Linked DNA regions of Arabidopsis thaliana. The protein of the gene in region 1 interacts with the protein of each later gene in a pairwise test. Each region holds a gene or a part of one and is shown in the gene's direction. Other genes may lie near its edges.

Region 1 (9,052 bases):
AGTGAGTGTATGCATTTCGCCTGGTGAAAGGTTTTCAACTTCTTCAGAGGCATCTACATCTGATGCCAACAGCCCGTCGAGGGAATCTACAGAGATTCTGCCACAGGCAACAAATGCAATAGTGACTTCGAATCGGTTAAATTTAAATGGAATTTCAATGTTCCAAGGGTACGTGTACTTTGTATTACAGATACAAATTCCCCATACTAGTAGATATGTAAAATCTTAATACTATGAATATGTGAAACTGAAGCAATACAATAATCTCTATACACTACTACTTCTTGTCAAGTTTTCAGCATTTGGGTGATTGATCTATTTTAATTCAATCAGGCTCATTGAGCGGGCACGGAGGACTGTTCGTGGCTCGGCAGATGACATAGGATGGTTACAGCGTGCCCCGGAGATGCCTCCTGTTGAAGATGGAACTGATAGGTTCAATAAAATTCTGGAAGACATCGGGTATGAATTGGTTGTAGTTGCATGTTTTGTGTGCTTTGTGGCCTTTTCAATATGCTGTTTAACATCCTGTTTTTTACTAAATGGCTGCGTTGATCTGGTTTTTATATCCAGGCATGGTGTACACAGGCTTCCAAATACAGTGGTGTACTTATTGGTTCCAGGTAGCAATTCTTATTCTTTGCTGCCAGCCACTTAAACTACATTACTGTATATTAGGACTCTCAAAATTAGTTGAATTTTTTTTAGGTCTTTTCAGCAATCATGGACCTCTATATTTTGTGGATACGAAAACGAAATTCTCAAAGATGGGTTTGGCGTGTCATATTGCGAAGATTCACAGCGAGGTAATCATAACTAACTCAACTTAGTACAGTTACATTTGGTGTATAGCATACTAATATATGGAGAAATGTTTATATATCAGTCCTCGGTTGAGAAAAATGCGAGAGAGATAAAGGAATACATAGAGGAACTCTGTTGGGGATCTAATAAGCGGGTTCTACTTCTTGGGCATAGCAAAGGAGGCATAGATGCAGCTGCTGCTTTATCACTATACTGGCCTGAACTAAAGGATAAGGTCGCTGGGTTGGTACTGGCGCAGAGTCCATATGGTGGAAGCCCAATAGCTACAGATATCCTCCGTGAAGGACAACTAGGTGATTACGTCAATTTGAGAAAGATGATGGAGATTCTAATCTCCAAAGTCATAAAGGTTTGCAACATTCCTGATCTAACAAAGTCATTTCAGTTGCATTATATCAGCTTCTTGTGATTGCCTGTTAAAATCCTTAGTTAGGTGGAACCGAGAAACTAGGGATAAACCAAAACTTATTTTGTTTCTGGATTCTATTGCTCTGCTGATCTTTCTGATGAATTCCTTGGAACATTGTGAAGGGTGACATTCAAGCATTGGAAGATTTAACATACGAGAGAAGAAAAGAATTCTTGAAGAATCATCCGCTTCCCCGAGAACTCCCCACGGTTTCATTCCGCACAGAAGCTAGCATTAGCCCAGCGGTTCTATCCACTTTATCACACGTAGCACACGCTGAACTTCCTCTGACAAACCAAGCCGCAAAACTGCCAGTGGTAATGCCACTTGGTGCTGCAATGGCTGCTTGCGCTCAGCTACTTCAAGTCAGATACGGTGAAAAGAGTGACGGGCTAGTGACTTGCTGTGACGCAGAGGTTCCTGGTTCTGTGGTTGTTAGACCCAAACGTAAACTAGACCATGCCTGGATGGTGTACTCTTCCTTGAACGAGGTTCCTTTAGAAGCTGATGCTGCTCAAGTTTGTGAAGCGCTCTTAACTTTGCTTGTCCAAGTTGAGCAAGAGAGGCAACAAAAACTCGCAACAAAAATCGATTGATAAACCAAATTGTTTTATTTCTACTTTCGTCTTGAGACTTCAAATTACTGTATTTGTTTCTATCTTTTTGTTTTATTTCTTACTAATTTACTATCAGGTTTGAATCACACGATAACAAAAAAATTATTACAAACGGTAGATTTTATATTTATAAGACTACTTAATTTGCTTCTTTTTTTTTCTTTTATTGTTGATTAATTTTTATTAGAAGATTAGTTATGTTTTTCTCTCTATTCCTTTAACGAACCGTGATCGTGCGGCTCGGATCGTTGGAGATTCTATGGACGGCCGATGCTTATATACTGTAAGTGGAATATGTAATTCCCGAAAGTGCCCTCCAGATGTTCACAAAATTACGCCATCGTACTCGAATTAACTTCAACTCTCTCTTCTCTCTCTCTTTCTTTTCACTCTTGTTTTTGTTTCTGTGAGTGCTGTGTGTGTTCTCGGTTTGTAATATCTAAGTCGCACAAAGATCAGACAAAGTCTGTTTGCGTTTGATAGCATTAGAGTCTGATCGAATTTGGAAGACCTGTGAGATTAGGGTTTCTTTTTGTTTGTTTTTTTTTATTCCGAAGGAGAGCTGCGGAGCAATTGGAATTACCTCGGTTAAAGCAATCACGTAGCTTTGGATCGTTTAGGGTTTTCTCATTGGGTTTGGGGGATTTGTATTCGAGCTTCCTCAAACTCAATCTGATGGTGATGTGAGACAAGGCTTAATCCTGTTAATTGGCGATTCTAGGGTTTTTCAATGGCGAGCACAGGCGAGCCTGACCGTAAAAGGCGTCACTTTAGCTCCATATCACCTTCTGAAGCTGCAGCCGCCGTAAAGAAACAGCCTTTCTTTTGGCCCTCCTCCGAGGACAAGGTTTCTTTCTTCTTCATCTCCCCCTTGTGCATGCCCTTTACATCTATTCTCTTACTTATCCAATCAATCATAGCTTTCCAGCTATTAGAGATTCATATACTGAATGTCTTTTGTCTCGAATTTGGTCTATTTTGGAATTGGGATTCTCTCTCTTAAGGAGTTTGTTTTCGTTTGATACAGCTTGATACTGCAGTTCTTCAGTTCCAAAATCTTAAGCTATCACAAAAGCTAGAGGCTCAGCAGGTTGAGTGTTCTATTCTTGAGGATAAACTCTCTCAGATCAAGGAAAAACAATTACCATACAACTCCAGTTTGAAGACTGTCCATAAGTCTTGGGAAAAGGTAACACTGAATTTGCTTTCGATTCTAATAGAACTTGGATTAGATCTCTTTTTCTAGAGAACTAATTAATGCTTGTATAGCAGCTTACAGCTTCAGTGGAATCATGCTCTGTTCGTGTGAGTGATTCAAGCAGCGGAGCTCATAGGTTTGTAAACAAGGAGGGTATGAACAACTTAAGCCCGCCTTTTCTTCGTTCTGTTAGTGCTAGGATCTAGTTTAGATTTGGTTTTATATGTTACAAATATGACTTTTTGAAAGGTTAACTTTAAATTGCTACACAGATGGGTCTTCTCCAGCCGTGAAAAACGATTTCATCAACCGGCTACTTGAAACTGGTGCTACTGAGAGCTCCTCATCCAATATCTGCTCGAATCAGATGGAAGAAAATGGAGTGAATACGTCAAGCCAGATGACGCAAACCTTGTATAATCTAGTAGCCGCGACAGAGGATTTGAGGTGTCTGAAGGATGAATTATATCCCACAGTTCTCAGAACCAATCTTGGTAAAGGTATGACTTCCACTGCGATCAATTGTCAGCTCTTGTTATGGCCTTTATAACATTTTAGTATTAACCCAGGTCCTATGTGGAATTGCTTTCTTTTCTAGATTTGTGCGGTCAGCTAGCTCTGAGTGAGTTGGAATCAGAAATTAAAAGTTTCAGAGGGGATCTAGATGATGTACTTGTGAAGTTCAAATCACTTTCTAGAGAATTGCAGAGTCATCGCGATGCTGATGCTAAAGTTAGAGTAGACCTCAAACGAATAAGAGGTAGCTACTTAGTCTCGTCTCACTCGACTATATACTGTTAAAATGGATTTTTTAATTGGCATTGTTTATATGGATATAGTATTCATGCATCAAATGTAAATTTGTAATCATATACGTGGCTTGACAAAAAAAGGTCCTATATACATGAAAAGCTACTGAAATCATATCTCGCTTTTGATTGATGAGGATAAGTGTAAGTAGAGGTGATCAAATTGTGAATCTTCCAATTCCACGCCTGTGTATTTATGTCCAGCACTACTCAGTTGTTTAATAGCCATGATTGGATTTAGATCATAGAGATTAAGATTGAAGAGAGAGATACATTAAGACTGGAAGAAAACCTCTATGGTAGAGCCAGCTGTTAAGAAGACATGTAGCTGTGGAAGATATACTCATTAGCGAACTGATGGGTGTACAAAACCCTTCTGAGACATGAACTTCTTAGTTTTCTTTTATACCATTTACCCATATTTATATATTTCGGTAGATTTTAGGAGATAGAGAAGCTGGTAATTCTTTGAGAATGACATACATCCACATAAGTGAAGCATCTTAATTTTGTTGATAAATTACCCGTTTACCTTAAGATGTAAGATTTCAATACTGACAGTAGCCACAGTTAAGAAATTCAAAGAGTTAAAATTTATTTTAGTTTACATGCCTGCTTTTGGATTAATGCTTCTTGACTACCGCATCAACTGATATTATACTTTATTTGGTCTATTCGAAGGGGAGCTAGAGGATGAGGTTGTGGAGCTTCAGCAGTGTAATGGTGACTTGTCAGCATTGAGAGCAGAAAGGGATGCAACAGCTGGGGCGTTTTTCCCAGTGTTGAGTCTTGGAAATAAGCTTGCTACCAGTGATCGGGAGAGGGATAAACAAAGGGATCTGCAAGACATGGAAACAGTTCTGAAAGAGTTAACGGTATCTTTGTTTTTCTGATTTGTTTTCATTGGTAATTCTTTAAGTTTTGGGTTGATAACGGCCTGGTTTCGGTAGGTCCTGGCTTCAGGCAGGCTACAACAGCTAAAAAATCTTCATGAGGAGAGGACAAAGATGCTTGGAAAAATGAGTAATTTACAGGTCAGTGTATTGATCCAATTGGGGTATTTGTATTAGTTTGTCTCTGTATGGGGTTTGATATATGAAAATTTGTGGAATGGTAGCCTCTTCCTATTGCTAAAACTGATGTAAGAGTTTTCTAACAGAACAAGTCAAAGTCTGTGAGGTGCATCTCATCTTCTCAAGCCTGCCTTTCTTTGAAAGACCAGCTAGAAAAATCCAAAGAAGCAGTTTTCCAGTATATGGCTTTACTTGAGAAACTGCAGGTTATATCTGGTTTGCGATTTTCATTTTGTATCTATGTTTATAAAATTTACGTTGTATATTTAGTTGTGAAGCTTTCCTCCATTCGAAAATTTCAGGTTGAAAAAGATAGTATAGTCTGGAAGGAAAGGGAGATAAATATAAAAAATGAACTAGGTGATGTTTCTCGAAAGACGTCTGCTGTTACTGATTCTAGAATGGCTTCTTTGGATTCGGAGATACAGAAACAACTGGATGAAAAAATGCGAATCAAGACTAGGCTGGGAAATATATCAAGAGAGCGAGGTCACAAATTGATTACTTTGACTTCCAATTCTGTATCTCCCACCCACACCTGTTTCACTTTGGAGTCTGATTAAGTTATTCGTATGTCAGGTAGAAAAGAAATCTTTGCAGATATGAAGGCATTAATTTCTTCGTTCCCCGAGGAAATGAGTTCCATGCGTAGTCAATTAAACAATTATAAAGAGACTGCTGGAGGTATTCATTCTCTGCGGGCTGATGTCCAGTCCCTCTCTGGGGTTCTATGTAGGAAGGTGGGAAATAATGTGAACAGTGATTGATGCTTATTGTTACAGTTTATGTTATGCTTACTTAATAAGCTTAATTGGTGAACAGACAAAAGAGTATGAAGCATTGCAATTGAGATCAGCTGATTATGCTTCTCAGTTAGGTGACCTGAATGCTACGGTATGATGCAATGTATCTACCTTTTTCAGTGTACTGCCCATGACTTATATATGTTGACAGTGTTCATATTGGTTATTGTTACTTTGCATTATTTCTTGGAAAAAGTATAGTGAAAAGGCGGATTAGCAATTTAAATCTTGTTAAATGTCTTTGGTTGGCAAAGTGGTAGTTGTTATGTTCTTTACTTTCAATTGATTGGAGTCTGTCATGCAGGTTTGTGATTTGAAGAACAGTCATGAGGAGTTAAAGTTGTTTCTGGACATGTATAAACGTGAGTCCACTGATGCGAGGTAAGCACAACTATATATAACGATATCTAAGATTTCAATTCTTAGAGAAAAGTTTCCTTATCTTCCCCTTCTCACTGTCCAAATATATAGTATAACAACAAGTGCTGTTATTAATCTTGCCTTCTGACTGAACTATCGAATCTTGCTGAAAGTTTGTTGTTAATTTTTCTTGCGTTTCTGAAGAAACTTATGTTCACATTTTCAATTTATCCATGACAGCTTTTAATATCTGATCTATTTTTACAGTTCCATCTGATAAAAACTCTTTTGGATGTGTTAGGATTTGTTTATCTTCTTATCTTGACTGAACACATTATTATAATGCGGTTGGTATATTGCCTTAAGCATCACTGTCGATAATGTGCTATGGCAGGGACATAGCTGAAGCCAAGGAACAGGAGTACAGGGCTTGGGCTCATGTTCAGAGTTTGAAATCATCCCTTGATGAGCAAAATCTGGAGTTGCGCGTTAAGGCAGCAAATGAAGCTGAAGCCGTTTCCCAACAAATGTTGGCTGCTGCGGAAGCAGAGATTGCTGATTTAAGGCAGAAAATGGATGATTGTAAAAGGTAAATAAGTATAAGTAGAAGTCTGCAATTTATAGATGCAATCACGCAGTTCTTCCATAGGAATTCTTTGAGAGTTTTTTGTTTGACAAGGATAAGTCTTTTCTGTTTCAGGGATGTCGCCAAGCATTCTGATATCTTGAAATCTAAACATGAAGAACATGGAACATATCTTTCTGAAATACAGGTTGGCTTATGAAATTTCGTGTTTCTTTGTTCTTAACATATTTTAAAAACCTTGATGTTGCGTATCGATTTACAGTAACTATATTCTTTTAGACAATTGGAAGTGCCTATGAGGACATTGTACCGCAAAACCAACAGCTTTTGCTTCAAGTTACAGAGAGGGATGACTATAACATCAAGGTATCGTGTCCAAACTCTTCTAGTTCCTCTATCTGATCTATCTCTGTGACTTCTCACTTACTCTTATATCTAGTAGTGTTACATTTATTCAGAGATTGATGGATCGTTTTAATGGGCATGGACCAATTTCTGTGGTTATACCTTGTATGTTTTGCTAGAATATCATGAAAAAAAGGATGGTTTGTTACTTGGATCAGACAATGAGATGTAATTTTTTGCTCGCCCATTGTTGTTTCAGCTTTTCTTGGAAGGCATAACTTCTAGGCAGATGCAAGATACTCTGCTTATCGATAAATACATCATGGATAAGGATATACAGCAAGGCAGTGCATATGCCAGTTTCCTATCCAAGAAATCATCAAGAATTGAAGATCAGGTATATCTGTGTGTGCCCGTATGCTCAAATTGTAAGCCTCCTTATTGTGAGACTTTGACTAAGGTGTTTTTCTTTTTCCTTGCAGTTGAGGTTCTGCACAGATCAGTTTCAGAAACTAGCGGAAGATAAATATCAAAAGTCTGTTTCTCTTGAAAATCTGCAAAAGAAACGTGCAGACATCGGGAATGGCTTGGAACAAGCTAGGTCAAGGCTGGAGGAGTCCCATTCTAAAGTTGAGCAAAGTCGGCTGGATTATGGGGCATTAGAACTGGAACTGGAGATTGAAAGGTAAATCAATTGCTCCCTCCATCTTCTCTATCCTAATTAATAGTCATAAACAAGTGTTAGTGATGAAGGTATCGTTCTTTTCTGCGTATATCAGGTTCAATAGGAGAAGGATAGAGGAGGAAATGGAAATAGCCAAAAAGAAAGTTTCTCGTCTTCGGTCTCTCATAGAAGGATCATCGGCCATTCAAAAGCTCCGACAAGAACTCAGTGAATTTAAAGAAATTCTGAAGTGTAAGGCCTGCAACGATCGCCCAAAAGAGGTAAAGAGTCACTGCTCTCCATTATTTAGATCTCAGCAAGACGCTCAAATCATGATCCCTTGAATCTTTTAGTCAACTGCGTGCGTGATTGCTGATTGGTTTTGGTCTTTGGCTTAACAAACTAGGTGGTGATTACGAAGTGCTACCATTTGTTCTGCAACCCATGTGTGCAAAAGCTCACAGGAACTCGACAAAAGAAGTGTCCAACATGCTCAGCAAGTTTTGGACCAAATGATATTAAACCTATCTACATATGACCGCACCAAAACACTCTGAGCATGATGATGTATGATGAAACTGTGAAACACACACAGGTACTTTTTCTCATATAGGATAAACATTAGATCTCTCTGTAATTATTACTCTCTTTTATTGGGAAAGGTCATGAAGAATAATTGGATATGGCAAATCAGAGTTTTTGAGGAACCATTTTGGGATTTTGATAATGTGATAGAGAATAGGTAACACTGTTAGGGTTTATGTCTTTGGTGATACTTCCTTTTTGTTTGTAATTTGGAACATGGTTTCCGCAATTGATTTTTCAATTAAATCTTCTTTTTTGTTCTACATTTGTGTATGATCCAAACGTTTGTGATGTAGTGTTCTAAGATTCTCAATTTAGAAAACACGAGGCAAGATTTTGGATATTTGTACCATTTGCGATGAATTGCAATCCAATTTGTTTGTTGGCATCTCCAAAGACTTCGATCCTTGGGATCATGATTCGAGATGGTCTTTCACAATCCTAGGTAGGAATTACAAGTATTTTTGGTGGATCTCCAATGACCTTAAATATTATAAGTGAATTTAGTACTAGTGTTTCTCTCTGTAACTACGGTTTGTAAAAGTGGGTTAAAACCAATAGTTGAAAATGTAAGAAAAAGACTAAAATCATTTCATGCATTATCAATTTTGAGCTTTAACATACAACTTCGGAATGTACCGTAAAAGTATTTTAGATGGCCTCAATACCATGTTTTCCCAATAATACTTGCTCCTTTAGCCCTTTACATTTCAAGTATTGCAAGTGTTTCCTCTTCCCGCAAGACATGATCATTGGTATTTGCCGCACATGTTCTTTT
Region 2 (9,476 bases), on another chromosome or scaffold:
CGTTCATATGAAAATATTTTAAAAAGTCAACATCAGTGCTAATTTCAAATTGACCATACATTAGCACACAAGAAGACTAACAAAAAAAATGAGTGAATAAAGAAGAGAGTGAGTGGGGTTGATACATGTCACCGTCCAAAATGTGTCTGACCCTTCTCATTGGAGCTACAAGAGCCGACCCTTTGCCTCATCATTTGTTGACTTCACTCTCCTTTTACATATTTAAATTATAACTTGCTCATATTTCCATTCATTGTGTTCGGTTCTAGATTGTTCCATCCACTTTCTTTTTTCTCTTACTTTGAAATTTAGAAATATATGAATACTTGACAAATATTTGAATATTGTAACTGATTTGTTTGTTCGTAATACTTGACAAACTTTTTTGAATATACACCTTTACATATATTTTGAGTTGAGATAAAAAGGGAATTATGTTAGTTTATGGATTATATTATGTAAATACCACATCTAACTATGATCGGATGAAAACTAAACCAGCATATCTCTAATCAGTAATATTTACTAAATTTATATATCATTAAAGATTTTTTGAATTTAGCAAAAAAAGAAGAAGATATCATTAAAGATTTTTAAATTTAAAGTATAACATAATGAATAAATCAAGTGTTGAGCTTAGTTTCGCGTTGCAAAGATGTTCATTTGATTTTTTTTTTTTTTTTTCCATTTGATTTTTCTTATACTAAATTGATTGATGTCACGGTCCTTCTGTGAAAAAAGTATATTGTACTGTATAAATTTATAATAGTCATACTTGAAGATAACTAATATCATTTTCTAAAGGTTTTGTTGACAATGAAATGGGTAATGATGAACATCTCGTTTGCTAAACCACAAAAGAAATAATTCGTTGGACTATAACTTAAACTTATAATATATCAACTGAAATGCCTACAATTTGAGAATACGCCTTTTCAAAAAGTTTTAGAATTTTATAAAAATTTCTCCACCATAATATTACTTTAATAAAAGCTTGTTATTAAAATGATATATTAACAAAAAAAAAAGAGGTAGGCAAAGTAGCTTTTATTAAAATTAATGTTTTCCCTAATTGGTAAATCATAAACCAAAAAATTGAGGTAATTCTTAATATATTTACTATGATTAGAATGATACATTAATGTAACATTTTATCATCTTCATTAATAATAGTAAGTTCTCCTCAAAATTACAATTTGATATCAAAAAATATATTTGTATTACAAGCAATTACTGAAAAATTAAAATTACAATTTAGCCCAGTTACATAACTCCACGTAAGGTTTGAGCCCATCACATCACATGGTACATGACCAAAGCCCAGTTATGTTACCATGGAGTATTCTTCAGACAAGAGCCATCCAGACAGAAGTGGACCACACAATCACGAATCGTATGGAGATCATTACAATATATTGCTCACATCTTATTGCGCCACGTCTCTTATTTGGCGAGTGATCAACGTCCACAGATCTCTTGCTCCACTCTGATTGGTACACGTCATCATTTTATTGTGCTACTTGTTTATGTGGTACAGTAGAGACAAGTGGTAAGATTTTAAAATATCTTAAAAGATGTGTGAGGCCCATTTAGATATTTTCTCAACGGGCTGTTCCTCAAAAGCTGCCCGTTTATCTACAACCATCGAACGGCTCGAAACTATTCTGGGCTAGCTGCCCGAAATCTCTTAAAGGAATTTGTTGAGTGGGCTTGAATCAACGGTGGATAATTCGAAGGTGTACGTAACATCTCGTAGCATCTGAACTTAGCTCCCCTCAAAATATCTGTGGACATATGTCACTAGCTTTTTTTTTGTGTAATGAAACTATTAATTAATTAGGCAATCACATGAGAGATGTTATATACTTAAATTAATAACTCAATAATACAATCATGACCACCAAACCTTGAAATAAAATAATCTCTCTGATTACTTGTACAAATTCTTTACCAATATATGCCATACTGTGAATGTAATGGTTTATTTTAAAACAGCCAAATATTATTGATATAATTATATGTTTAAGTAGATTTTAAACTTAGCTCATGGTTAAAAATAGACAGAATTTTGGAGTAAATCTGAGTTTACAAAATTTATTTATTAGGATTAAAATTAATTACTTAAATTGGCAAACATTTTTCTTGGTGATTGTAACATACAATATACGAATTTGAATTCGCATTGTGATTCCAAAACAACACTAACATAAACTACCAGTAAAATTTTTTAAAATAAAATTTCATATATATATGCTTAAAAAATGTAACAAAAATATGGTAAATTTTTTAACCATGGTATGGGTGGAGATGTATGTGGGATGATGATGGTTATATGGTAATGGCGCATAAAGGTGGTGGCAAAGGCAAGGAAATATCGATGACACGTAAGCAGACGGGAAATCTTAAACCGAGTGGAGAAGCCTCCAAATCTCTTTTTTCTCTCTCTCTCTCCTAAGGCCACCACAATCTCTTCTTCTGTGTATGTATTCTTTTTTTCTCCGATATTCGTCGATCTCTCAAAAATATCCTCAAAGCCAAAAAAAAGCAAGAGTAGAGATAACCAACCAACAAACTCATAGGAAGACATATTTACTTTCAGGTCTTTCTTCTACTACCTTTTTCGTGGTTTTTGGTTGATTGATTCTCAGATGAGATTTTTTCCCGAATCATTTGATGTCTTTTTTTTTTAAATAAGTTCTTGGTAAATCACTGTTTCTACTAGCATTTTTTGTTTTCTCAGCTTAGATTTGTTGTTTGATTTGACATCTTATCTGATTGAGATTTTGTTCTTCTGAATTGTTGTTACAGGGTTTAGCTGTTTGATTCAGCTTCGATTTAGTGTACAGTGTGTTGATTAGTATAAAAAGGATTTAAAAGAATCTGGGAGATGTGTATAGTGATTGTTCTTGCTGGCGAATGTTAACACTACGTCGTATTGATTCTCGATTGATAGTAGAAGAAAGGTGTTAGTTAGATTGTTCGTTCATCTAGTTGGGGTTTAGTTTCGGTTCCTGGATGGCTAGTTCATCTTCATCTGAGAGATGGATCGATGGTCTTCAGTTCTCTTCCTTGTTATGGCCTCCGCCACGAGATCCTCAACAACATAAGGATCAAGTCGTTGCTTATGTTGAATATTTTGGTCAATTTACATCAGAGCAATTCCCAGATGACATTGCTGAGGTACTTGATACCTAATGAGTTTAATAAGAGTATTCTCTTAGTAGTGACGTTTTGATTCATGTATAATTTATCTGTATCAGTTGGTCCGGCATCAGTATCCATCAACTGAGAAGCGACTTTTAGACGATGTGCTGGGTATGATCAACATTTATGATCCACACTTCTCTTTTTGTGTGTGAATGTCTATCTGATTTTCGTTTTCTGATGAAACAGCGATGTTTGTCCTTCATCATCCGGAGCATGGTCATGCAGTCATTCTTCCAATCATTTCATGTCTTATTGATGGCTCGTTGGTGTACAGCAAGGAAGCTCATCCGTTTGCCTCTTTCATATCTTTAGTTTGCCCAAGTAGTGAGGTATATAATAGCTGTCTAGTATCATGCTTACTGATTTGGTGTAACCTATACCATTTTGTGCTAACATGTTCACTATCCTAACAGAATGACTATTCGGAGCAATGGGCTTTGGCATGTGGAGAAATCCTTCGCATTTTGACTCATTACAACCGTCCCATTTATAAAACTGAGCAGCAAAATGGAGATACAGAGAGAAATTGTCTGAGCAAAGCTACAACTAGTGGTTCTCCGACTTCAGAGCCTAAGGCTGGATCACCAACACAGCATGAAAGGAAACCTTTAAGGCCTTTGTCTCCATGGATCAGTGATATACTACTTGCTGCTCCTCTTGGTATAAGAAGTGACTATTTCCGATGGTAAGTAGACTCTGTTACTGATGCTTCTATGTGTTCATGCGCCGGCCTCCTTCTTTTATTTTGGTCTCTCTGCTGAGGTCTATGTATTGAGGTTCTGTAGTGGATTAAGCTTACTGACAACTAAAAATGTTGCTTATTATTTACAGGTGTAGTGGTGTAATGGGTAAATATGCTGCTGGAGAGCTCAAGCCGCCAACCATTGGTGAGTTCAAGAATTCCATGTTAATATCCCCTGGAACTGGATTTTGATGATAATTCTGATCAATAGAGTTGTTCTATCACTTCGTTCATAAATGTGTATCCATCACCTGTGGCTATAGAATGTGTTTTGAGTTGCTTCCTATAACTTTCATGTTGTCCTACTTTGGCAGCTTCTCGAGGATCTGGTAAACATCCTCAACTGATGCCTTCAACCCCAAGATGGGCTGTTGCTAATGGAGCTGGTGTCATACTGAGTGTTTGTGATGATGAAGTTGCTCGATATGAGACTGCTACGCTGACAGCGGTCGCTGTCCCTGCACTTCTTCTTCCTCCGCCAACGACATCCTTAGATGAGCATCTAGTTGCTGGCCTTCCAGCTCTTGAACCATATGCACGTTTGTTTCATAGGTATTGTTTCTGGGCTTACCCTTTCAATTAGGGTTTATTGGTAGTAGTCTGTTGCTAGTTTTAAGGTTGTGCTTCCTCGAATCCCTAGATCAGAATTGTTTTCTCACTTTCCTGTTATACTGTCAGATACTATGCCATTGCAACTCCAAGTGCTACGCAGAGACTTCTTCTTGGACTCTTAGAAGCACCACCGTCGTGGGCTCCAGATGCACTTGATGCTGCTGTACAGCTTGTGGAACTCCTTCGAGCTGCTGAAGATTATGCATCTGGTGTAAGGGTAAGCGTAATATGAATCTCTTAATTACCCTCCAGAAAGCTAATTGTGTCCCTTGTTATAAAAAAAGTCAGCTTTGGTATGTCATCAAAGAAATCAGCTTTGATCACATTCTTTTTCTTGGTGCAGCTACCCAGGAACTGGATGCATTTGCACTTCTTGCGGGCTATAGGAATTGCTATGTCTATGAGGGCAGGTGTTGCTGCTGATGCTGCAGCCGCTTTGCTTTTCCGCATACTCTCACAGCCGGCACTGCTTTTTCCTCCGCTAAGTCAAGTTGAGGGAGTAGAAATTCAGCACGCGCCTATTGGTGGCTACAGTTCAAATTACAGAAAACAGGCATGGTTCCTCTTTATATTTTTCTGCTATTCCATCTCTGATATGCGATTGGCATTCTACTAGAAAATTATATTGAAACTGACTCATTTCATCTCAACAGATAGAAGTTCCTGCAGCAGAAGCAACCATTGAAGCCACTGCCCAAGGAATTGCCTCAATGCTTTGTGCTCATGGTCCTGAAGTTGAGTGGAGAATTTGCACTATATGGGAAGCTGCTTATGGTTTGATCCCTTTAAATTCTTCGGCGGTTGATCTTCCCGAAATCATAGTTGCTACCCCACTGCAACCTCCTATCTTGTCATGGAATTTATACATTCCACTCCTCAAAGTACTTGAATATCTTCCACGGGGGAGTCCTTCGGAAGCATGCTTGATGAAAATATTTGTTGCCACTGTGGAAACAATACTCAGTAGAACTTTTCCGCCTGAATCTTCCAGGGAACTAACCAGAAAAGCTAGATCGAGTTTTACCACAAGATCAGCGACCAAAAATCTTGCTATGTCTGAGCTTCGTGCTATGGTCCATGCTCTCTTTTTAGAATCATGCGCTGGTGTGGAATTAGCTTCACGCCTACTTTTTGTTGTGTTGACTGTATGTGTTAGCCATGAAGCACAGTCTAGTGGTAGCAAGAGACCGAGAAGTGAATATGCTAGTACTACTGAAAATATTGAGGCGAATCAACCTGTATCTAACAATCAAACTGCTAACCGTAAAAGTAGGAATGTCAAGGGACAGGGACCTGTGGCAGCATTTGATTCATACGTTCTTGCTGCTGTTTGTGCTCTTGCCTGTGAGGTTCAGCTGTATCCTATGATCTCTGGTGGGGGGAACTTTTCCAATTCTGCCGTGGCTGGAACTATTACAAAGCCTGTAAAGATAAATGGGTCATCTAAAGAGTATGGAGCTGGGATTGACTCGGCAATTAGTCATACGCGCCGAATTTTGGCAATCCTAGAGGCACTCTTTTCATTAAAACCATCTTCTGTGGGGACTCCATGGAGTTACAGTTCTAGTGAGATAGTTGCTGCGGCCATGGTTGCAGCTCATATTTCCGAACTGTTCAGACGTTCAAAGGCCTTGACGCATGCATTGTCTGGGTTGATGAGATGTAAGTGGGATAAGGAAATTCATAAAAGAGCATCATCATTATATAACCTCATAGATGTTCACAGCAAAGTTGTTGCCTCCATTGTTGACAAAGCTGAACCCTTGGAAGCCTACCTTAAGAATACACCGGTTCAGAAGGATTCTGTGACCTGTTTAAACTGGAAACAAGAGAACACATGTGCAAGCACCACATGCTTTGATACAGCGGTGACATCCGCCTCAAGGACTGAAATGAATCCAAGAGGAAACCATAAGTATGCTAGACATTCAGATGAAGGCTCAGGGAGACCCTCAGAGAAGGGTATCAAAGATTTCCTCTTGGATGCTTCTGATCTTGCGAATTTCCTCACAGCTGATAGACTCGCAGGGTTCTATTGTGGTACACAAAAGCTTTTGAGGTCAGTGCTTGCAGAGAAACCGGAGCTGTCTTTCTCCGTTGTTTCACTGTTATGGCACAAACTGATTGCTGCTCCTGAAATCCAGCCCACCGCAGAAAGCACCTCTGCGCAACAAGGATGGAGACAGGTAAACCTCAGCACTTCTATTTCCCAGCTCGCTTACAGTTTCCTTGGTAGTTCTTTACTAATCCAATTAAGTCGCTCGACTTCATACACTGATCATATTTTTTATATATCAGGTTGTTGATGCGCTATGCAATGTCGTATCTGCAACGCCAGCGAAAGCAGCAGCAGCAGTTGTCCTTCAGGTCCAAATTACTCTTTGACTTTTTATTTCATTTGTCAGGAATGCAACACCTGTGTAAAGATTAAACTGCGGAAAACCTATGGCCTGTGTTAATGTTTTATAATGCTTGGTTCACTCATTTGATCTCTCATGAATTTATAAAAATTAAGCTTGGAATTTATATGCAACACTTGTTTTAATATGCCAAGGATAGGAAATAAGGAAGAAAAAATCTGTGTAAAATAATGGCTTGTTTCAAGCTCATATGTTGAAGGATTTACTCTAATGCTCTATTGTCTGAAATGGTCTTGTGTTATTTACAGGCTGAAAGGGAGTTGCAGCCTTGGATCGCCAAAGATGATGAAGAAGGCCAAAAAATGTGGAAAATCAACCAACGGATAGTCAAAGTGTTGGTGGAACTCATGCGCAATCATGACAGGCCTGAGTCACTGGTGATTCTCGCAAGTGCATCAGATCTTCTTCTGCGGGCAACTGATGGAATGCTTGTTGATGGAGAAGCTTGTACATTACCTCAACTTGAGGTACTGCACTGTTATAGATTGCTCTTCAATGCCCTTCTTCGGGCTAGAGTAATAATCATTTTCTGATTCCACTGTATTTTAAACTTTTGCAGCTACTTGAAGCCACGGCAAGAGCAATACAGCCGGTGCTAGCTTGGGGGCCATCTGGACTAGCAGTGGTCGACGGTTTATCCAATCTATTGAAGGTAAAAGCAGAATCGAACAGAGCCTATGGTTTCCTGCGTCGATTGTAGATGATCAGTAGTAGGTCCAGTTACCAAAGTGCTTAACCTTGTTCACATCTTTTTGCTTCTATGCAGTGTCGTCTACCAGCAACAATACGGTGCCTTTCACACCCAAGTGCACACGTACGTGCCTTAAGCACGTCAGTACTACGTGATATCATGAACCAAAGCTCCATACCCATCAAAGTAACTCCAAAACTGCCAACAACAGAGAAGAACGGAATGAATAGTCCGTCCTATCGATTCTTCAACGCCGCCTCAATAGACTGGAAAGCCGATATCCAAAACTGTTTAAACTGGGAAGCTCACAGCTTGCTCTCCACAACTATGCCTACTCAGTTTCTCGACACTGCGGCTCGGGAACTCGGCTGTACTATATCCTTGTCCCAATAACGAGCACCCACTTTTGTTTTTGGTAAATTTTAGTTCTCTAGACAAAACATTTGGACGTAGACCAAGAAGAATATATATATAGTTTGTTGTATGTAATGTTGTAATGATGAGTGACTGACGCAATCACTCCCACCGGCGTTGGATTTGCTCTCGCTCGGTGTCTTATATAACTCAACCTCTTCTCTGTACATTTTAAATGACGAAGTAGCTCAATCTTTTTTTTTGTGCGTCTGGTGTTTAGTCTTCAGTGGATTCTAAATCGTAATGTATAGAAGTGAAAAATTTACAAATTTACTTATTTCCGAATACTCTTAAAACAGCAAAAATTAATATTGCAAAAGATAATTTATAGTATTTTAATCTTTTTCCTCCAAAAAAAACATTAAAGGGTAAATTAGTAATTAACTACAGGAGCTTCATATTAGGTTGGAAAACCCTAAATATGCCGCTTATAACAGACCTGAGCTTAAGCTGTGGTGGCGCCTCCAGAGTCTGGTAAAAGAGCTTAATCCTCCTCTCGCGATCTTTCTCGGCATCCAAAAATGGTACGATTATCGTTCTTCAACTCTTGTCTGGTTCTCCAATTGCTCGTGCTTCATTTTGCGTATCGCTCGTTTTTCATTGCTGGTTTTGGGATTGGAGTTTTAAGCTCAAATGTTTTTTGTATTCCCTTACACGATTTGCGACTGACGGATCTGTTTTTTTTTTTTCGTATTCGTGTGTGTGTAGTCTCTAGTTGCGAACGAGGAGTTTCAGCATATTCTGCGTGTGCTCAATACTAATGTCGATGGGAAGCAAAAAATTATGTTTGCTTTGACCTCAATCAAGGGTATTGGAAGGCGATTGGCTAACATTGTGTGCAAGAAGGCTGATGTTGACATGAACAAGAGGTTTGTTTCTTAGCTTGGTTCTTAATACTTTCAGTTACTTAGGAATTCTATGGATAAGGATTATGAATCTTGCGAGGTTTTGGATGTTAGTAGAAAATGTAGCTCTTTGACTAGAATTGTACCTGCTCGATCTGGTTTGATTGATTTCTAGGAAATCAGATATTTAGGTTTTCTTTGCACATAGAACTTCTCTAGATTGATATTCTTGAAGAAGTTTGGTCTAGTGTGTGTTTTTAAATGTTTTTTCCTTTGCTGGTATATTCAGGGCTGGAGAACTAAGTGCTGCTGAGATTGATAACCTCATGACAATCGTTGCTAACCCTCGCCAGTTCAAGATCCCAGACTGGTTTCTTAACAGACAAAAGGATTACAAGGATGGGAAATACTCCCAAGTTGTTTCCAATGCTCTTGACATGAAGTTGAGAGATGATCTTGAGCGTCTCAAGAAGATCAGGTAACAAACAACACATACAGACACTCTCCTCTGTAGTTTTTAGATACCATGTTAATAGTATAATGAT
Region 3 (5,790 bases), on another chromosome or scaffold:
CCCATCGTTACCCACCTCCTCGGCGATGAACAACTCCAGTTTCTCCTTCTCGTGTCGGCGAGAACATCGGCCTTGGAACCTTATTCAACGTCATCTCGTCTCTTGACAGTGACCAATTTGTTGTCCATTGATTCGTTCGTGGAAGATCCTTCGACTACCCGTGACCTCACATGTGCCATCATGCCTTATAGTTTGTGGCTCAAAGCTCTCATGAATTTTATGTCGTTTCACATTATCTATCATATCTTGGTTTTGGGGAATGCCTCTTTTAATTATGTTTTAAACTTTGTGATCTTTGAATCACTCCTTCTTATATTTGTTTTGATTTGAATAAATGAAAACAAATCTTTGCAAAAAAAAAAAAAAAAGATTATATCGACAATGATATTGTTTAAATATATCAGTCTACATTTATCATCTTCTCTGTTAGACTCGTCGTTAAATTTCTATTTTTTTAATAGTTTACACAGATGTTTTCATATTCTAACTATTTCTTTATATAATAAATTTGTATATCTAGTAGACGGATCTTCAAAAAAAAAAACAAGTTCTCCCCACATATTAATATCAAAAAAATTCTTAAATACCTTATCAGCATTTTAGATTTAATTATGAGCAAAATAAATGTTTAGAGATATGAAACTTAAATAATTGTATCTTATTCTCAACAATTAACGAATAACCAATTTGGAGACAAATCTATAAACTAATAAATCTTGCTTCTCTATAGGGTGCGCTTTTGTCCCTGTTACGTATGAAGTGACGTATAATCGTCTACTAAACTATTTTATCCGTACGACATCAGTTTCCTATAATATTTGTGTGACACTATAATAAAAATGAAAAATCATGTTCGTCGTATACCTGAATTAAGCAACGTATAATGAATAAACTTTCCATAAATACAAAAATACTCGATTAGTGGAGTGTGCATCGCCAACAAAAAAGATTCTACGCAACGTGTCGAATCAGTACTTGTTCCTGAGTTCCTCCGTCACTAACCAGTGCGGACCATGTCAGTATCCAAGCACCCACACGCTCGTCGTCTCTTGAAAACATCTCACACAAATACACAACGGCTCGGACTAATAACTTGCCATCTAAGAAAAGCTAATTGACCTAAGGCTTTGTGGCACCTGCATGTAAAAAGCAAACACGAATTTGCCACGTTATTACAAAGCATACCACGTCACCGTCTCACTGTTACACTATCTCTTGTTCTCCTTTATTTCGCTATGGACAACAAAAATTATAAGGTGGGGAAGAGATGTCTCAAAATACTTTTTTATCGTCCTCTCAATTTATGTAACTGATAATAATCGAAATAGATAAATTTAATTGTAGGTTGACAAAGCGCTAATTTTAATAAAAACATATATTAGTTTGGAAAATTTTGTCGTAGTAAGTAATTAAACCTATCAATCTTGACTAATAATTTCAAGTATCCCATAAAAATCAAAATTGTCCTTAGGTTTTGAAATTGTACTACTGATAGTACGTAATTAAACAAACAAAAGCTATAGCTTGTGGATTATAGCTAATCCCATTTGGCGATGAGAGTAATATATATATTGTTCAAATAAAGTTGTAATTAAGATTCGATTGAAAAGGTAAATTATAGTTTAAGAAAAACAAAGAGAGGAGACAACAATTAAAAAAATGAAAAGTGGAGAACTGTACTCTCGCCTATACGAGGAGGTCATTATCTCCAAGGCTCTCAAGGATTAAGGACCATGCTTTGATTCTATAAATGTTGTTTTATTCAAACTATTTATATTATTATATCATACGTAATATGTGGTTAGCATTTGACCCACGTCCCCTTAATTAAGTCTAGATTAATCCCATTAATCTATCCAATTAATAATTAGGAAAATTTTATATAAGATTGCTATTGGATTTCTCGGTGGTGGTTTAAACTATAAAATAGTAATGCCTTTGATGCGTGTGATTTTTTATTGGAACTTATTGGTTTTAATTCTTAACCTAGCAATTATATTTGTAGTAGTTTATGTTAATCATTGTTTAATAATACTCCTATAATAACTCTTGCAAGTAGCAACACTTGTGTGGCTATTTATTCCAGAGTCCATGGATATGTATGTATAAGAAAATAGGAGTGCTTTTGCAGATTGAAGAGTTTGTCTATAAAATCATGTTTACTTGGCATTTAGTGTTATTGTTTGCAATTTTTTATTTTAAATTAGTCGGATATTTTAAGTTAAAATCTGAATACACAGCATGTTCCTTCTAACGTTTTTTAACATAATTGTAAACTAAAGAAAAATTATAATATAATAAATTAAATTATACCCTCTCTATTCATTGTAGAAGATTTGTTTGTTTCACCAAATGTGTTTTTTTTTTATAAGTTGCTCTCACTCTTGAGAGTTTTGGAGTATTTTGAAGAGGACGAGGTTCTTTTGTGAAAAAGTGAAAGAAACAAATCATGTCAAGAATTAGAAAGAAATCATGACAAATAATTTTGTTTGTGCAGAAATTACAAATGAATCATAGATATCCTTCTAATTCGGGATCGGAAACCAGTTGAAAAATCGATGGACTAAGCTTTCTATATTGGGACTAGCTTACCCTTAGAATTAGTCAAGCAGCTTAAATCATCTATGACTTAAAATTATAATTAAGAAAAAACAATGCCTAAATATGCATATATTTCAAATGTATCACATAACTTGTGACATAAGAAAATATAAACAAAACAAAAAGGGCAAAAAAGACCTGAAAGCTTAGAGGCACACCTGCATAGGTCCCACAGTTCACTCGTGACACCGTAAAAGGCAAAACACGAACCCGCCACGTTATCACAAAAAGCAAGCCACGTCAATATAGTCTCACTGTCAACTACACTTAACTTACTATTTTCACATCTCATTTTCCTATCTTTATATAAACCCTCCAGGCTCCTCTTTAATTTCTTTACCACCACCAACAACAAACATATAAACCATAAGGAAAACAGAGAAAGAGAGAGATGGAGGACGACAATAGTAACAACAACAACAACAACAACGTGATCGCACCTTTCATCGTGAAAACATATCAGATGGTCAATGATCCTTCCACCGATTGGCTCATCACTTGGGGACCTGCTCACAACAGTTTCATAGTCGTTGATCCACTCGACTTCTCGCAACGAATCTTACCTGCTTATTTCAAACACAACAATTTCAGCAGTTTTGTTCGTCAACTCAACACCTATGTAAGTTAATTCATAACCGAAACTCATACATGAAACTGGAAACAGGGGATTACGAACTAATGATCCTTTCTTTATTTACTTTAGGGGTTTAGGAAAGTGGATCCGGACCGGTGGGAGTTTGCGAACGAGCATTTTCTAAGGGGACAGAAGCATTTGTTGAATAACATAGCGCGTAGGAAACACGCGCGGGGGATGTACGGTCAAGATTTGGAGGACGGTGAGATTGTGAGGGAGATCGAACGGTTAAAAGAAGAGCAGAGGGAGCTAGAGGCAGAGATTCAGAGGATGAACCGGAGGATCGAAGCGACGGAGAAGAGACCGGAGCAGATGATGGCGTTTCTTTACAAAGTCGTTGAAGATCCTGATCTTCTTCCAAGAATGATGCTCGAGAAAGAACGGACAAAGCAACAACAACAAGTTTCCGACAAGAAGAAGCGTCGTGTCACGATGTCGACGGTGAAGTCAGAGGAAGAAGAAGTGGAAGAAGATGAAGGGAGGGTCTTTAGGGTTATGTCATCATCAACACCGTCGCCGTCATCAACGGAGAATCTTTACCGGAATCATTCACCGGATGGGTGGATTGTTCCTATGACGCAAGGACAGTTTGGTAGTTACGAGACGGGTTTGGTGGCGAAGTCGATGCTCTCGAATTCAACGTCGTCGACGTCATCATCTTTGACGTCGACGTTTTCTTTGCCGGAGAGTGTTAACGGAGGAGGAGGAGGAGGATGTGGGAGTATTCAGGGAGAAAGAAGGTATAAAGAAACGGCGACGTTTGGAGGAGTGGTAGAGTCAAATCCACCAACAACACCGCCTTATCCATTTTCTCTGTTTCGAGGTGGCTTTTAGCGTTTAGCTTCACATGATATATGATCTTTAGACTTTATTATTGTTATATTATTATTATTATTTATTTTTTGTGTGTTTGTTCTTAATTATTTTATGTATAACCAAAAGAAAGAAAGAAAATAAGGACAGATCCATAGTTGAGTCAGTAGTCATCGTTTGTAGAAAGTTTTGACAGTATATAATTTCTGATTATATTTGTTAAAAGTTCATATGTTGACTTTGTTTTCCTTTTAAAAGTACTTTCAGGTGACTTGTGTAATATATTCACACTTGTAATAACAACAATTTTGATCTTCTTCACTACTTCAGTGTTTTGATTTTTGAATAAAGTATTATTGTAGCCTTATATCTTTGTAATAACAACAAAATATAGGCTTTACTTTTTCCACTTTAAGCTAGTAATTAAGTCTATATACCATTTCAAATTTATCGTTAATGGCCATCTTTAAACTAAACCATATCGAGTATTTGACTCTTTCTCTTGAAACACTTGTTCTCAAACACATTAACGAATCAGTTGACATGGTATATAGACTTACTAGCTTATATAACCCACATGCTTAAAGCTGATCATAAAGTAGAAGAAACATTGCCTATATATAACCCACGTGGTTAAGGCGACACAAGTCGGTCGACTGATAACAAGTCAACGAGACATCCATTCAAGATTCAAACGTATCATCAACACGACGCTCCACTTTCACTTTCATCTAAAATTGATAACATGACATTGTTAAATTTTGAGACGTGACAGTTAGCCACGGGACTTTGGTCGGCCAACAACGTTTCGAACACTCATTGGGCTAGAGAGAGAGAGAGTATAAAACAACGATAAATCTAAATTGGACCACCTGATGTCTCTCACACGAGGACGCGTGGTTATACCAGATAATCGCAAAATCTCTTGTAAGATGTTCGGGTCCATACTTTGATTGTCGGCTCTACGATACGCTCATACGCATACATCATATAAAGTTACTATCACAATTTTGTTTTGTTGTTTATGATTGATTTTTTAACACTTCGATAATACTTATGTTTTCTTTTGTTAAAATACTTAAATAATATTATTAAAGTTGTAAAGATTCGTAACTTTATAAAGTTTTATGATCTTTTACTCAATTTTATAAATTAAGTATTCACTTATTACTTTTTTTTTTTTGTTAAAAGACTTGTTTACTTATTTGTGATGTAGTTAAGAATTATCTTTTATATTAATTTATGAATAATATTTTATATGTCTTTAAAAAAAAAATAGCGAAAAATTTCTCCAACTTAATAGGAGAACAAAGTTGAATAATTTTCTTCTTAATAGGATATTGAATGGTCTAGTATCCATTAAAAACTAAGTCGGCCTAAAATATTTTCATTTTATACTATTAATTAGCTAACAACATATACTATTGTTTATCAAAGAAACAAAACATACTATTGGTTGTGGATTAGCTAACCTTATTTAGTAATAAGAGAATAGTTTTTCTTGTCCAAATCAATTGCGTAAGACTCGACATAAATGGAAATATATACTTAAAAAAGGAAAAGAGAGAATAGTTGTAAGTTGACAAAGGGCGAACCATCTCTTGCCGGTTGGAGGAAGTCATTGTCACTTAGGATCTAGCGAATCAAGGACCATTCTTTGGTGCTATAAATTGTAGTTTTATTCAAGCCATGTAACTTTTTTGGATTTTTATAATGCACCTAACATGTGGTTAACATTTGAC
Region 4 (7,186 bases), on another chromosome or scaffold:
AGTGTATCTCTTGAGTGTTTTATTGCAGGTTTAGATAACCTCATACAAGTCGTTACATAGTTATGAGTAAATGAGTTTATTAATAAATTTAGAGAACAATCTATGCCTACCGGTGAATTTTTATATAATAAATTGAATGTTTTATTTTATTGTTATAATTGACTTTCTAATCTAAAAGATAGAATTCTATGAAATTGTACACACTTTTGAAAACAATTTTTTTTTTAATAGAAAATTATAAGAAATTAGATCCATATGGTTATGGGTATTATAATATTTTTATTTATATATATATATATATATATATATATATATATTCTTCTTGCATGACCATATTAATGAGAATATTGGGATCAGAGACTTATTTATAGTGTGTTTTTAGTCTATTGCACTTGTGTTTTGGAATATTATGATATTTAATTCAAAGATGTACCCTTAATGAATGATCTTTTATGATGTCAATGTTTCAGCATCTTATACTGAAACAGAAAATAAGAGGAGGTCTTAAAGGAAAAGAAAACATTTCGAATGCAAAAATTTAACCTTTAACATTTTCGATTTTTTTTAATGAAATTCTAATAATATTGGTTCTAAGCAGCTGATTTTATTTTTTTAATAGTAAGAAATAATATATGTATACATATATATTTAAATATTTACTATCAAAATTTCCGGCATAGCAAGTCATAATTTGTAAGAAATCTTACATTTTGTTGTTTACAAACTCTCACAAGTCACAATGTAAGTTTCGGTCTAGTGCAGTGATGAGGTAAACAAAAAAAAAAATCTATCGATGAGCCAACTTTTTGATCTAGAGCCCTAGGATTTGACGATTTATATATAAATAAAACCCTAGGATTTTCGTTTCTTTTTGTATAAAAATGAATTCATAGGCACTCTATACGTCTCATGAATCATGAAATATAAATCGAGATTAAATAGAAAATTGAATGTTGACCGTGGAACAGAACAAGTGTTGAAAGAAGTGTGTTTGCAGCATGGTCTTATCATAGAGCCAATAGTTGGAAATTAGCAGAATATCGTATAATATCCACTATCCTGTAAAGCATTTTTATAATTCCTTTTTTTTTTCTCGGTTTCTAATGTAATCTTCTATCCGATAACAAATATTCGGATAGTGTGATCTCTCCACTAATATACATACGAAATTACGAAAACTAAAATTATAATTTCATCGATTTGATTAAACTCCAAAAACATCCAAGTCTTGCATCAAATATGTACATTTCTATCATATTGTTTATAATTCTTTTTTTGTTATCCGTAAGTTTTAGGCAGAAACCCGTACAGTGAAACCGAGGACCAGAACAAGATAAACGTAGTCCCCTCTCCTAAGTATAGAATTATAATGTGACACATGATCACAATTTGTTGAACGAACTCTATGTTCAACCACTAGACTACAAATTCTTGGGTTTATATCGTATTAGAAGTATATATAAATCATACATATTTTTTTTAAAACTTTTTTCTTGACTATTCTTTTAAGAAAAAAAAACATTTCATTACTAGAAAATAGTACAAAATATATCATTCAACCTAGCAAGAAACCATAGCCTGAAGTAGCCGCGAAGACCTAGTTGCTTAAACACTGAGTGGTTCATCTTAATTCGAATATTATAAACCACATTTTAATTAAGTAAATTACTTAGTCTTGTTCTAATGTATAAAATAGCCTATGAGAGGAAAACAGAAGAGAGAAGCCTTTGCCTTATCTCTTGTCCCTTCTCTCTTACCTTTATTTTAATTTTCAAATATTTCTTTTTGCTCCCAAAGCAAACGACGTCTTGTCAATCCACTCAAGCCACCCAACTTCTTCATTATTGTTAATCTCTCTCTCTCTCTCTTTCTCTCTTCTTCTCTCTTTCTCTTTTTTTTTTTTTTATTTTCTTCTCTTCCATGTCACTTCCTTGACGAATTCTATATACCTAGTTCGTTTTTTCTTCCTCAAATATATCTTTTTCAATTTATTTGGTTTTTCTTTGGGTGCAACTTCACCTCACAAAATTTTCTCTCTTTTTTTATATTAATTTGAGTTAGGCCTTTTTGATTTCATAGATGAGTCGTCTAGTCGTCTGGATTTGATGTGGTTATAGTCTTACAGAGACCTTTGATTGAAATAAGAACAAAAGCAAGAATACATACATCCTCTTCATCTTACACCCATCCTTTTTTATTTTTCTAGGGTTTTATTTTTTTTTAATTTATTTTTTTTCTTTGATTTTTATATTCTCTCTCTCTCTCAAATCTTTACTCATCTGGGTATGGAAGAATACCAGCATGACAACAGCACCACTCCTCAAAGAGTAAGTTTCTTGTACTCTCCAATCTCTTCTTCCAACAAAAACGATAACACAAGTGATACCAACAACAACAACAACAATAATAATAGTAGCAATTATGGTCCTGGTTACAATAATACTAACAACAACAATCATCACCACCAACACATGTTGTTTCCACATATGAGCTCTCTTCTCCCTCAAACAACCGAGAATTGCTTCCGATCTGATCATGATCAACCCAACAACAACAACAACCCATCTGTTAAATCTGAAGCTAGCTCCTCAAGAATCAATCATTACTCCATGTTAATGAGAGCCATCCACAATACTCAAGAAGCTAACAACAACAACAATGACAACGTAAGCGATGTTGAAGCCATGAAGGCTAAAATCATTGCTCATCCTCACTACTCTACCCTCCTACAAGCTTACTTGGACTGCCAAAAGGTTTGGTTTTATTCTTATTGTTATGTTATAATATATACTCTTTTTTTAAAGATATAATATATAGTTATGTGTGACATATATATGTATGTTCATGGGTCATGGTTTATATAGATTGGAGCTCCACCTGATGTGGTTGATAGAATTACGGCGGCACGGCAAGACTTTGAGGCTCGACAACAGCGGTCAACACCGTCTGTCTCTGCCTCCTCTAGAGACCCGGAGTTAGATCAATTCATGGTTCATTACTAACCAAAGTTGAATTTTAATTAAATGGGTCGGTTCTTTGTGTGTATATGTGTTAGAAGTCTTGATTTTCCTTTTTTATTTTTTGGTATGAATAGGAAGCATACTGTGACATGTTGGTTAAATATCGTGAGGAGCTAACAAGGCCCATTCAGGAAGCAATGGAGTTTATACGTCGTATTGAATCTCAGCTTAGCATGTTGTGTCAGAGTCCCATTCACATCCTCAACAATCCTGGTACATGTCATCAATCTCATATACATACATATATGCACATGTAAGAAATGGCTGGAGAAAACAAAGTGTAGTGGCAAGGTAGGGCTAATGATGGATTGCATAAATTGGCATGTTTCTTTGGTTCATGGTAAATTGTTGTAACATTGAGATATTAAAAAAAAAAAAAATCATAGTCTACATACATTTTCAAATGTTAATTAAGATTATAAGATAATTAAGATAATTGAGATGCATTATTGTTGGAAAGTATGTAAGATACAAATAGGTGTGCATATTTGTTCTTGTTTTCCCCATTGTGGAATCCATCCAAAGATGGGTGGGGCTTATTTTTGTTTTTTTTCTTTTCACTCGGCCCAAAAGTACTATCACAAGAACTTTTGGTGCTGCTCGTGAAGATTTATTTGGGACATTATCTTCTTCGATTTCGTTATGCTAAAACATCAAAATCTCTACTCGGATTAATTAGTCTAATCATAAAGGTAGATGACTAGAATGTTGTTAAATGACTAAACCATTTAACTTCATGAAATATATTATGTTGAAGCAGATGGGAAGAGTGACAATATGGGATCATCAGACGAAGAACAAGAGAATAACAGCGGAGGGGAAACAGAATTACCGGAAATAGACCCGAGGGCCGAAGATCGGGAACTCAAGAACCATTTGCTGAAGAAGTATAGTGGATACTTAAGCAGTTTGAAGCAAGAACTATCCAAGAAGAAAAAGAAAGGTAAACTTCCTAAAGAAGCACGGCAGAAGCTTCTCACGTGGTGGGAGTTGCATTACAAGTGGCCATATCCTTCTGTACGTATAAATTTTCTCTCATCTCTCTTTGCCCTCATATTTTTTAAAATATATACTACAAATTAAGTGTTTTAAAAACCTATCTTTAAGCTAGCAATTCCCTCTGAAGCCGCTATGTTAGGCCAAGTAGGTACTTGCATGACCGATTTTGTGTTTAAATCCTTGTACGGTTTCCAACAACATGGTTTTAAATCCGAATGCTCACAACACTAGAATTAGTCACTAGGATACATATCTTAGTCATGGTGTTCTAACCCTTAACATACTATTTTCTAACACGTATATCAATCACTTTTTTTTAAAAAATGTAAGTTTGTGATGAAATTTTTATCCATATATTTTGAAACAATTTAATTTTTTTTGTAGTTTTAATTAGTTTGAAATGAAATAACTAATCTAACCGACTGTAATGATAGTGAAAAAAACATGTTTAATATTGGTAAATATAAATGACATGTTGTTAAAAAGATAATAAGACAACATATAGTTAGTCGTTACTTGATGTCAAAGAAAAATGAAGTTAGTCATTTTACTTAGAGAATCGTTCAAAACAACAAACTTTAGGTCATTTTCCATTTTTATGTCTAGAATCATTTAAAAATAATTTTCGATTATCTCTAGCATTGCTTTTTATACATTGATTACTACATAAATGAAGATGGTTGGTTTGAGTTGTGTGGCAGGAGTCAGAGAAGGTAGCGTTGGCGGAATCAACGGGGTTAGATCAGAAACAAATCAACAATTGGTTCATAAACCAAAGAAAGCGTCACTGGAAACCATCTGAAGACATGCAGTTCATGGTGATGGATGGTCTGCAGCACCCGCACCACGCAGCTCTGTACATGGATGGTCATTACATGGGTGATGGACCTTATCGTCTCGGTCCATAAGACATCCAAAAGCTTTAGCCACATAATAACAACCTCTCGTTGCTTTCTTGTTACAACTCATGTTTTGAATTCCCCTACATCAGTTTGCTACTTATAGCTTTCTTTGTTTTCACGCCTTTTGTAATGTCTTATGTCGTTCGGGGAGTTTGAGACTTCCTAGTCAGAAATATCCCTTCATTTTATTTTCTCTTTTTTTCGGTGTATTTTGTTTTTTTGTTTTCTCACTAATGTTTTTATTTAATAATGTGTGAAAGGAAAATGCTATTCTGAAAAGGTGTTGCTCCATTTTTTTATTTTATATGGCATGAAATGTATGGTTTTGAAAGACAAAACCCAAATTGATCTAATGGATTCTTACATGCCTTTCCACAAGCTAAAACAAAATCCACAAAATGTAAAACATCGATAGTTGATAAGTCTCAAAACCATCTTTGCTTCGAACACGGTTTCAGGCATATATTATGACTTATGCGAAAGCATTACATCATAATACATAGGTCATGGAATCACTACCAGAAAAAAAAAAACTATTGTCGAAAGATTAAGTTAAAGATTCTCCCTTTGCACCCACTCGTCATCTGATGCGGACATCCAAATTAAACCAAACCGGGACCATACCAAATCAGCCGGTACATTTATCAAACCGATTGATGAAGAGCATTTTGGAGGACTCTTGCCCAATTGGAGTCTCAATCAAGCACAAGGCCTAGGGTTAATTATTCACCAGCAAATTAATTCTAAGAAGACTAATGATGATTCAAGAAGGGTCAAAGACCAGCGAGCCGAGTCACCATATTGTGGGGATATGACCGTTGCACTCTTTTTCCCTTATCTAGGGTTTGTCCCAATGGGTTTACCTAGAAAGGTTTTTAACGAGGCAACATCAAGTCATCAAGGAATCATTTACCAAGCAAATGATTCGAAGATATCAAAAGTACATATATTTGATGTACTTGCTAACAGACCGGCTGAACTACTTGCTGAAACTACCTTCTGAAGTACCGCACGAAATGAAGCCAAACAAGGAAATCTTCCTTATTCTACACTTGGACGCACCTCAAAGCTACATATGGAAACCAGGAGAACATCTAGACCACACAAGACTTATACCACACGAACTTTGGTACATCTTACCACACAAGAACCCGCTGAGCTACTACTTGCCATATATGGAGCCGAAGGAGATCGATTACCAACAACTCTTTCCTTCTTTGTTTGTGCGCTTATGTGAGAATCTTGAGACCCTCCAGAACCTTCCAAGACGTCACAACTTCCTCCCCAAGTTGACAAGATACAAGGCACATCTCACTTGCCTTATTTGGACATATTCTACAATTAATGTCCAATATTTTCATTTATGTTTTGTTTCTTTCATTAATGCCTTAGAACATTGTATTCAGCTCTATATAAGCTGATTTCTCATTCATTGTAAAGCAACCCTTGATCATTTTAAAGTAACAGAAACGTTTTCTTGTCAAAGTTGAGTCTTTGTCATTTGTTCTTTAGTTCTTTGTGAGTGAGTCATGAAGTACGTCAGGAATCTGCGGATTAAGTTTGTTGAGTGATTCAACATCCTTCATTCGTTCATTGATCGAGTGAGTCGATTACCCAACTGATTGAGCGAGTCAATCACCCAACTACCCATCAATTCCCCTTGAATCGATCCCACACGAGAGAAGCGATCGCCAGCGTGTTAGATCACCACCTTCATCATCCCACCTTCCGCGTGGCAAGTTTGGAACTCTTGCTCATCAAGTGATCAAAGGATGGATTAGCTCCAATTCTTGCATCATCATCCTTTTTTTTTTACTAATGTTTTTAAAGAGTTTTTTGCAAAACTAGTCATTTTTGAAAACTTAATTAAAAATATAGCATCAATCACGAATTGGTCAAGATTTTATGTTCTTTTATTATGTTCCAAGATGTATTTCATCTCTACTTCACTCTGATTACATTTAATCTAATTAATGAAAGTTGAGTTGAAATTTTTTTTTAAGAATATAACATCATATATATATATATATATATAAATTAAGAAAATTGCATGTGAAAGGTGAGAAAAAACAATTTTAGTGTAGAGTTGTTGGTGAGATGATTTAGTGACACTTAGTTTAGTTTTCAACTATTTGTATTTTGGGAAATTTGAGTGTATAACAAAAAAAAAACTTATATTAACTAACTAGCTATTCTAACTATAAGACTATAATATTCTATGTATAATCTATAATAATGCCATATTTGCCCCATGTTGTAGGATAC

Evidence for each region.
Region 2: the proteins of HUB1 (region 1) and GI interact in binary tests that used the Arabidopsis thaliana proteins (3 or more experiments, as listed by UniProt).
Region 3: the proteins of HUB1 (region 1) and HSFC1 interact in binary tests that used the Arabidopsis thaliana proteins (3 or more experiments, as listed by UniProt).
Region 4: the proteins of HUB1 (region 1) and KNAT1 interact in binary tests that used the Arabidopsis thaliana proteins (3 or more experiments, as listed by UniProt).

Annotation. Positions count from the first base shown.
Region 1 is NC_003071.7:18,541,777-18,550,828, reverse strand, and holds HUB1 (histone mono-ubiquitination 1), read left to right. Parts: upstream 1-2,176; 5' UTR 2,177-2,581; coding exon 2,582-2,698; intron 2,699-2,878; coding exon 2,879-3,040; intron 3,041-3,123; coding exon 3,124-3,202; intron 3,203-3,321; coding exon 3,322-3,549; intron 3,550-3,647; coding exon 3,648-3,809; intron 3,810-4,539; coding exon 4,540-4,733; intron 4,734-4,808; coding exon 4,809-4,892; intron 4,893-5,017; coding exon 5,018-5,137; intron 5,138-5,233; coding exon 5,234-5,420; intron 5,421-5,510; coding exon 5,511-5,671; intron 5,672-5,753; coding exon 5,754-5,825; intron 5,826-6,038; coding exon 6,039-6,115; intron 6,116-6,488; coding exon 6,489-6,683; intron 6,684-6,794; coding exon 6,795-6,867; intron 6,868-6,959; coding exon 6,960-7,046; intron 7,047-7,122; coding exon of another isoform or gene 7,123-7,158; exon of another isoform or gene 7,159-7,282; intron 7,283-7,284; coding exon 7,285-7,422; intron 7,423-7,507; coding exon 7,508-7,710; intron 7,711-7,804; coding exon 7,805-7,970; and 4 more. Other genes in the region: AT2G44970 (alpha/beta-Hydrolases superfamily protein), read left to right, coding at 1-168, 334-462, 574-623, 709-806, 887-1,174, 1,357-1,830. UniProt on the Arabidopsis thaliana protein: E3 ubiquitin-protein ligase that monoubiquitinates H2B to form H2BK143ub1. H2BK143ub1 gives a specific tag for epigenetic transcriptional activation and is also prerequisite for H3K4me and maybe H3K79me.
Region 2 is NC_003070.9:8,059,383-8,068,858, forward strand, and holds GI (gigantea protein (GI)), read left to right. Parts: upstream 1-2,368; 5' UTR 2,369-2,599; intron 2,600-2,808; 5' UTR 2,809-3,015; coding exon 3,016-3,180; intron 3,181-3,260; coding exon 3,261-3,315; intron 3,316-3,393; coding exon 3,394-3,536; intron 3,537-3,620; coding exon 3,621-3,892; intron 3,893-4,038; coding exon 4,039-4,094; intron 4,095-4,263; coding exon 4,264-4,501; intron 4,502-4,627; coding exon 4,628-4,778; intron 4,779-4,904; coding exon 4,905-5,114; intron 5,115-5,214; coding exon 5,215-6,747; intron 6,748-6,859; coding exon 6,860-6,928; intron 6,929-7,229; coding exon 7,230-7,448; intron 7,449-7,540; coding exon 7,541-7,633; intron 7,634-7,747; coding exon 7,748-8,065; 3' UTR 8,066-8,408; downstream 8,409-9,476. Other genes in the region: PFL (Ribosomal protein S13/S18 family), read left to right, coding at 8,608-8,610, 8,795-8,955, 9,221-9,409. UniProt on the Arabidopsis thaliana protein: Involved in regulation of circadian rhythm and photoperiodic flowering. May play a role in maintenance of circadian amplitude and period length. Is involved in phytochrome B signaling. Stabilizes ADO3 and the circadian photoreceptor ADO1/ZTL.
Region 3 is NC_003074.8:8,938,463-8,944,252, forward strand, and holds HSFC1 (heat shock transcription factor C1), read left to right. Parts: upstream 1-2,603; 5' UTR 2,604-2,992; coding exon 2,993-3,220; intron 3,221-3,249; exon of another isoform or gene 3,250-3,304; coding exon 3,305-4,069; 3' UTR 4,070-4,412; downstream 4,413-5,790. Other genes in the region: AT3G24514 (uncharacterized protein), read left to right, coding at 462-487; AT3G24517 (uncharacterized protein), read right to left, coding at 1-45, 90-179. UniProt on the Arabidopsis thaliana protein: Transcriptional regulator that specifically binds DNA sequence 5'-AGAAnnTTCT-3' known as heat shock promoter elements (HSE).
Region 4 is NC_003075.7:5,145,710-5,152,895, reverse strand, and holds KNAT1 (homeobox knotted-like protein), read left to right. Parts: upstream 1-1,736; 5' UTR 1,737-2,285; coding exon 2,286-2,753; intron 2,754-2,864; coding exon 2,865-2,990; intron 2,991-3,094; coding exon 3,095-3,233; intron 3,234-3,780; coding exon 3,781-4,037; intron 4,038-4,720; coding exon 4,721-4,927; 3' UTR 4,928-5,197; downstream 5,198-7,186. UniProt on the Arabidopsis thaliana protein: May play a role in meristem function, and may be involved in maintaining cells in an undifferentiated, meristematic state, and its expression disappears at the same time the shoot apex undergoes the transition from vegetative to reproductive development.